2 linked regions of the Cricetulus griseus genome follow. The protein of the gene in region 1 interacts with the protein of each later gene in a biochemical or structural test. Links are inferred from orthologs where the notes say so. Each region holds a gene or a part of one and is shown in the gene's direction. Other genes may lie near its edges.

Evidence for each region.
Region 2: the proteins of Sytl4 (region 1) and Rab8a form a complex in vitro, tested with the Homo sapiens proteins (2 studies listed by BioGRID). The link is inferred for Cricetulus griseus from reciprocal best matches to the Homo sapiens genes SYTL4 and RAB8A.

What each region holds. Positions count from the first base shown.
Region 1 is NC_048604.1:46,164,940-46,168,754, forward strand, and holds part of Sytl4 (synaptotagmin-like protein 4), read left to right. Parts: coding exon 1-45; intron 46-273; coding exon 274-489; intron 490-625; coding exon 626-735; intron 736-980; coding exon 981-1,083; intron 1,084-3,815. UniProt on the Homo sapiens protein: Modulates exocytosis of dense-core granules and secretion of hormones in the pancreas and the pituitary. Interacts with vesicles containing negatively charged phospholipids in a Ca(2+)-independent manner.
Region 2 is NW_023276806.1:246,924,537-246,928,451, forward strand, and holds the start of Rab8a (ras-related protein Rab-8A), read left to right. Parts: upstream 1-916; 5' UTR 917-952; coding exon 953-1,076; intron 1,077-3,915. UniProt on the Homo sapiens protein: The small GTPases Rab are key regulators of intracellular membrane trafficking, from the formation of transport vesicles to their fusion with membranes.

The sequences.
Region 1 (3,815 bases):
TCAGAGAGATGAGGAACTCAGAAAAGCAGATGAGAAAAGGATTAGGTAAGAGGCCCAGAAATAGTATGCATTTCTGGACTTCCAACAAAGGATACCCAGACTTTCCCATTGCTTCTTCACTCACTGTCAGAACTCCACATAGGATTTGACAGCTCAGTGGGTCAAGTTGGGCTCCGAGTTTCTTCCTTTTACACAACCTAGTAGTCTTACTGTCAATACCTCAGCTTGTGAAGATCCTGAACCCATTTGTGCTTCTCTTTTGGGTCTTGGCAGGCGACTGAAGAATGAGCTACTGGAGATAAAACGCAAAGGTGCCAAAAGGGGCAGCCAGCACTACAGTGATCGGACCTGTGCCCGGTGCCAGGAGGGCCTGGGCCGTTTGATTCCCAAGAACAACACTTGTGTGGGTTGTAATCATTTAGTGTGTCGAGAATGCCGCATTCTGGAAAGTAATGGTTCCTGGCGGTGCAAGGTGTGCGCCAAGGAAATGTGAGTGTTACTTAACAACAGCATAGTAAAGAGGGGAGATGAGTCAGGCTGTAGTGTGAATTTTTTTCTCATCAACTTGGTTAGTTGAATGGCAGAGTTTATTATTTATACATCTGACCTTTTTCTTTTCTCCCAGAGAGCTGAAGAAAGCAACTGGAGATTGGTTTTATGACCAGAAAGTAAACCGCTTCGCTTACCGAACAGGCAGTGAGATAATCAGGATGTCTCTGCGCAGGAAGCCTGCAGGTATTGAACCAGGCTAGAGGCTGTTCCCTGAAGGCCCCAGCATCAGGGTTAGTTAGGCTTTTGGAGAATGCAGCTGTAGTCTAGTCAGTGGCCATTTAACTCCAGGGGCTCAGGCAGTTTGGGGAAACATAAAAGAATGTGTCTGCCCCATCTGCAAGTGTGTGTTTGGGGTGGGGGAGATATTTTGAAAGTTGTCTCCTTCCTTGCTCTGGTTACTACTACTCTGCCACATTTTTGTTTTGAAGCAAATAAAAGAGAGACAGTGGGACAGTCCCTCCTTCAGCAGACACAGATGGCCGATATCTGGCCAGGAAGAAAGATCATTCAGGAACAACAGAAGGAATCCAGGTAAGAGCCAAGGAATTGTTATTGTTCAATTCTTCTATTACTTTTACTTCGTTTTCTAAAACAATAGGCACTATTAGAGGGAGTTTGGAAAGTACAGATAAAATCAAAGAAGGAGAAAAAATCAATCTTGATCTGATTATGTAAATATCAACATTTAGGCAAATTTACTTTGTTCTTATGTGCACTGTGCTGTGAAAAAGAAAACCATCCACTCTTAACAACAATTTACTTAAAAAGTTCTGTGTCTGTAGACAGGTATGTTCACATGTACGCAGGTGCTTTCAGAGGCTGGAGGGGTGTTAGATACCCTGGAGTTGGACTCCTATGCAGCTTTGAGCCACTTGACAACAGTACTGGGAACTGAACTTTGGTCCTCTGCCAGAGCAATAAGCATCCTTAATTGTGGAGCCACTTCATCTCGCCAGTCACCATGAGCTTTCTTCCATACCTTCCTAATCTTTTCTTTTATTCTTGGTGTTGGTTACTAAAATTATTTAATTTTTTGCAGGCTTTGTTATATTTTCTTTCTGTTATGCAGCCATAAATCAACAGAGTTTAAGGCCTGGTTTAGTTTTAGTTTCATATTTATAAGGATGGTTTGCTTGTACTTAGGCCTTGCACAGTGACTTCTCTACTACTGAATTCCTTCCTTTGGCTCTATTTCTTGGTTGTCTAGACTTCATCATTGGGAAGTGCTTCCAGGAAGGCTTTGTGATGTTTATTGAATTCTTTCATGTTCATGATGCCTGCCCAACTACCTTTGTACTTGAATAGCATCTTAGCTGAGCCTTACAGACTTGAGTCATGTTTTCTTCTCTCAGACTACTATAGATGTAGCTCTGTTGTCTTCTGCCATTGACTCTAACTATGAAGAAGGCCATCTTGACATTTTTATCCTTGTAGGTAACTTTGTGTGTGCACATGCACAAATGCACACAGGTGTGCATGGGCATGAGAATTTGTGTGGATAAGTAGTTGGATTTACTGAACAAATACATTTCCTTCAATATTAGTAACAAGAATGTAAGTCAACAATTATTCTGAACTACTATTTCTTGAAATTTGATATATTCTTGATATTTTCTTCATCGTTAGAATTTTTCTGTATCATGTCCTTAAACAGTTTTTCCTGTTTTGTTAGTTAAGGGCACCACTGTAACAATAAATCTTTCCACCAAGTTGCCAAAGTCCTGCTGCCATGTGGGTGCTTTCCACCAGGCTGCCCAAGTTCTGCTCGCCACCACATTAAGGTCCCAAGTAACATACAGAGACTTATATTAGGTACAAATGCTGCTTGGCCAAAGACTAGGATTTCTCATCTGCTAGCTCAGTCTTTGTTTTGTTTTGTTTTGTTTTGTTTTGTTTTTTCGAGACAGGGTTTCTCTGTGGCTTTGGAGGCTGTCCTGGAACTAGCTCTTGTAGACCAGGCTGGTCTCGAACTCACAGAGATCCACCTGCCTCTGCCTCCCTAGTGCTGGGATTAAAGGCATGCACCACCAAGGCCCAGCTTGCTAGCTCAGTCTTAATTATCATAAATCTATATATTTTATAAGACTTATCTTATCGAGGACGCCTCCCACTGGCACCCTCTCTTGCTGGCGAATCACATGGCGACTCCAGAGCAGAGACCAGGAGGAAGAGCAAGTGGAAAAGGATGACTTCCTTCTTGATCTTACTTATATATGAGTCTGCCTGCTATATCACTTCCTTCCTGGATCTCTACTACATTTCCCAGAATCCTCCTTGACTCCTAGTCCCATCTAACTTGCTGCCTCATTGGCCAAACAGCACTTTATCATCCAATAAGACAAACACATACACAGAAGCACTTCCACCATCATACCACCTCAAGGATATTGGAATTCATTTATCCTCTATTTCTGTAATGTGTTTTAAAAGTTTATGATGCAAAAGAGAAAGATGGAAGCAATTAACTGTGGAGACCCCAACTTATTCTTTCCCTCCATGCTATTTGGGTTTGGGACCTGACTTTCAATCACTAGATCCTATGTAAAACCCAGGTATTACCATGTACCTGAACCAGTTGCTTTGTGTGGAAGGAAGGAAAGAACCACTGAGACTTGGCAAGTACCCTAGCTCTAGGCTTGGTGGAAGACCCTGTTTCAAGGGAATAAGGTATCCATAAAGCCAACCCTACATGCTACTGACCTGCCAGGCAAAATGCACCCACTGGTACAATAGTGGCATGGAGTTTATAAGGATAACTAACAAACTGCTCCACAGAAAGAATTCAGGCCTGGTATTGTAAACCTGATCATATGCCTGTGGTTCAGCAGGACAGAGAGATGCCCTAGGGAAAAGCCTACAACTGTTGTATGGATTGTTTGAATCTGTAAATTGCTTTTAGTAAAATAGCCATTTTCACAATTTGACTTTTCACATGTTGATTTTTTTCAATTGATGAACCTGGGAGGTCTTTCCATCTTCTAGTATATTTCTCAATTAATTTCTTCAGTGTTTTAAAATTATTATAGAAGTCTTTTATATCCTTGGTTAGGTTTATTCCAATGTATTTTTTTAGGTTATTATGACTGGAACTGTTTTCTTTTTCAGTATGCTTCTCATTTGTGTGTAGAGAGACTAGTGATTTTGTGTATTAATTTTATATTTTGCCACTTTGCTGAAGATCTTTATCAGTTTTAAAAGTTTTCTGGTGGTGTCTTTAGGGTTTATTATGTATATACAATAACTTCATTCATGATAGCTAAAAC
Region 2 (3,915 bases), on another chromosome or scaffold:
TTTCCCTACACCCAGCACTCAGAAGGCAGAGGCAGGCGCATCTCTGTGAGTTCGAGGCCAGCCTGGTCTACAGAGCAAGTTTCAGGACAGCCTCCAAAGCTACACAGAGAAACACTTTCTCGAAAAAAACAAAAACAAAAACCCAGAAGGGAAGGAAGTGCCACTGTAAAGCCTGGGAAAGTCACCTCACCTATAGCGTCAGCATACTCAGCCGCTGGTGTGGGGTGAAGGAGCCTGCATTTCCGGCGGGCACAGAACAAACACTGCCATTACACTGATCTGCCACTGTCCTACCAGCGCCTGCCCCCGCTACGGCCTCTGGGATGGCACGCCTCAGGGCCTCGCGTGGCGGGCTCACTGGGGCGAGCCCGGAGGCCTCGGCCGAAAAACCTCCACAAGGGAGTGAGCGCAGTGACTCATGCACTTCCCGCGCTTCGCCGCAGTGCCTAAATGCGACTGCGCGGGCTGCGAAGGCGGGAAAGCTGAGGCGTCCTCCGCGCGCGTGCGCCCTCTGCTGGAGCCAACCGTCTTCCAGCACGCATGCGCATTTTCACCAAGCCCGTCCGTCCCTCGCCGCCCCTAGCGCGCGGAATTGTTGGGGTCCCTCCCGTCAGGGGCGGGGAATGAGAAGGTGGGGCCAGGGCATAGCCACGCCCACCGCCGTTCATTTGAAGCCCCCCCACTCCGACTCTCCATCTCTAGCCAATCACAAATCTCGCTACCCCAAGGGCCAGCCAATGAGCGGCGCGGTGCGGCTGCTTCCGGCTCTGCGCCGGATTCGTCTCTTTGCCCTGAGCTCCCTGCGACGGGCGGGGCTCCGGAGGGCGGGCGTCGGCCTCGGTGACGCGCGGCGGGCCGAGGTCCAATAGGGGGCGGGATCTGAGATGATGGACGGGTCTAGCGGCCAGTGGCGAGGCGCCGGCCGGACTTCCCGTCGGGGAGAGAGTGTAATATGGCGAAGACCTACGATTACCTGTTCAAGCTGCTGCTGATCGGGGACTCGGGGGTGGGGAAGACCTGTGTCCTGTTCCGCTTCTCCGAGGACGCCTTCAACTCCACGTTCATCTCCACCATAGGTAGCGGCGCCTCGGGGCGGCCGGGGACCGGGGCTGGGCGCGCCCCTGTGGGGCTGGGCTGAGGGATCGGCTCGGTATCCACCCGGGCCGAGGATCCGGGAGGGTCGTGGGCCCTGACGGAGGACCGCAGCGGCCTCCGTCTCCTCGAGGGGACGCCGCGAACGAGGTGCAGACGGGAACACTCAGGCTGCTGTCTGAGGGAGAGGCTGCCCTGGGCTGGGGTCCTGGAGCCTGTCAACTCTCTGTCCTCACAGCAGCCCTCGAGACGGTAATTTTGGGAGAGATCCCCGTCTTACAGAAGTGGAAACTGAGGCATGGAAGTGACACCTGACCTCGTGCATCATTCCCTATGTGCCAGGTTCGGCCTGTGCACTATCAAATACTGTAGTGCTCTCGGGTTGGGTGTTGTGTCGCTGAAGGAGGAATTTGAAACTGAGGGAGGGTGTGGCACGCACTGAAGGTCAGTCTACAGGTGTCAGGGTTGAGATTTGAACCCATGTGTATCTGACTCCCAAATTCGAGGCCTAGCTGTCCCAGAGAGGTGCCGCCTTATACCCTCACAGGGCCAGCACCATCAATTAACCTTTAAGTCAGGACTCCAACCCAAAGTCCTGCTGCCCTCTGCCTGAGGAGTGGTGCTAGTACCTGTCACCCTGGTGGAGATGTGAGAAAAAAGTTCCTGTGAGAAACTAAGATCGGCCACGGCCACGTGCAGCCTTGACAGGACACCACCTGTCACTTCCTGAACAGCTTTCCCCCAGGGCTGCCTCACGGTGCAGTTGAACAGAATTGGCTTGTGATTGACAAAGTCCTGATGTCAAAAATGGCACAGACCTTGGACCTGGAAGTAACTCCTGTCAAACAGGGTGGTCTGCATGCTGTATGGCCCTGGAACAAGAGAATGGTGCCTAGGCCTGGTTTATCCCAGGCCAAGCTGTTGTTCAGTTGGTGCAGTCCTGGGGTCCATCCCCAGCATCCTGAAACCAGGTGTGCTGGTAAATAGCTGTAATGACAGCACTAGGTAGGTGGAGGCAGGTGGATCAGGAGTTCGGGTCATCCTTGGTTACATAGACTGTTCAAGGCCAGGTTGAGCTACATGAGTCCTGGCTCAGAAAGAAAAGGAAAACATAGGGAATGATTTCTGTGTAATGTCAACTAAGCTGTATTGTCTCCCTGACCGGACCATTGTGTGCTAATGTCATCGGAACTCTCCTTCCTGGTGGGCACTCTAAAACAGTCAGGTGTCAAGTACAGAAAATTATACCTGGACTCCAGGTGCTGTTCATCCTTGAACAGGCTCTGACCTTTCTTATGTGATTTGGTTTAGAGCAGATGTGGCACTGTCTGTCTTGGCTGGTGCCCGGGGTGGTTGAGGGTTAGCTCTATACAACGAGTGAAGAGGTCCATCTGGGGGAAGCGGAGGGTTTAGACACCCCTGGACACAGGTGCATCTGAAGCTTCTCCCCTCCCCCCCCCAAAACATCCAGCTTTGGAGTCACCCTTAGGTGAGGACCAAGCAGGAAATGACAATAGCTGCCCACAGGCTCTGGCTTGCTCTCAACACAGACCTCAGTTTCCCGGCCTCAGACACTTCCTAGTCACCAACGTATTAGTTCAGGGTGGTTTTCTGTTTGTTTGCTTGCTTGCTTTATTGTGTGTGTGTGTGTGTGTGTGTGTGTGTGTGCTCTTGCATACTCATGCATATATATGAGGGCTGGAGGCTAGAGGTTGACACCAGAGTGAACTGGTTGTCAACAACCAGATCAGTCACTCTCCTTGCTGCTGCTTTTTCTTTTTTCTTTTTTTTTAATTATTTTATTCGGAAGGTAGGTGCATGCTGGTGCACATGTGGGGGTCAGAGGACAATCTGTGGGAGTCTGTTCTTTCCTTCCACCATGTGGATCATTGGGACTGATCTCAGGCTGCCAGGCTTATGGGCAAGTACCTTTACCCACCAAGCCATCTTTGCTGAGTCTCTCACTGAACCTGGAGCTCACTGAACCTGGAGCTAGCCCTAGGACCCTTCTTTCTCTGTGTCACCAGTGCTGGGATTGTAAGTTGATACCACCATGCCCAGGTATTTTTATATGGGTTCGAGGGATCAAACATGTCCCTAGCCCTTGTTTGTTTGTTTGTTTGTTTGTTTGTTTGTTTGTTTGTTTGAAACAGGCTGGCCTAGAATTCACTGTGTAAACCATGCTGTCCTGGAACTCTTGGAAATCTGCCTGCCCCTGTTTCCCAAATGCTGGAATTACAGATATGAGCCATCCTGCTCCACTGGTTTTGTTACATTTATTTTGTGTGTGTGCATATATGCCAAAGTCAGGAGACAACTTGTGGGAGTTAGTTTTTTTCCTTTCACCAAGTGGGCCCCAGGAATTGAACTCACATCATCAGGCTTAGTGGCAAGCACCTTTACCTGATGAGGTTTCTTGTAGGCTCTTGTTTTACATCTCACGTGTGTTTCTCCAGTTTTTCTTTTTGAAGTACTGGATATGGAGCCCAGGTTAACCACATATCTGACCACTGATCATATCCATCTGGATGGTTTGAAACTCTTGATCAGAAAACCAACTTAGTCCTTCGGGGTCCCTGGGAGACAGCCCTCCTTTACAGTGAGGTAAAGGTAGCACTTGAACCAGGATCTCTCCCTCCCCAAATCAGCATCACATTCCCACAGACCTCTGTCTTCTGGGAAAGTTAATCTCCTTGACCTTTAAGTTACGGCCTCATAATTCTGGAGCCTCATAAAGTTTACAGTTCCTAATTCAATTCATATGTTAATAGAAGCTAGGGGAGCTCCAGACCAAAGTGAGTTATACAGTGACTCTGGACTTTT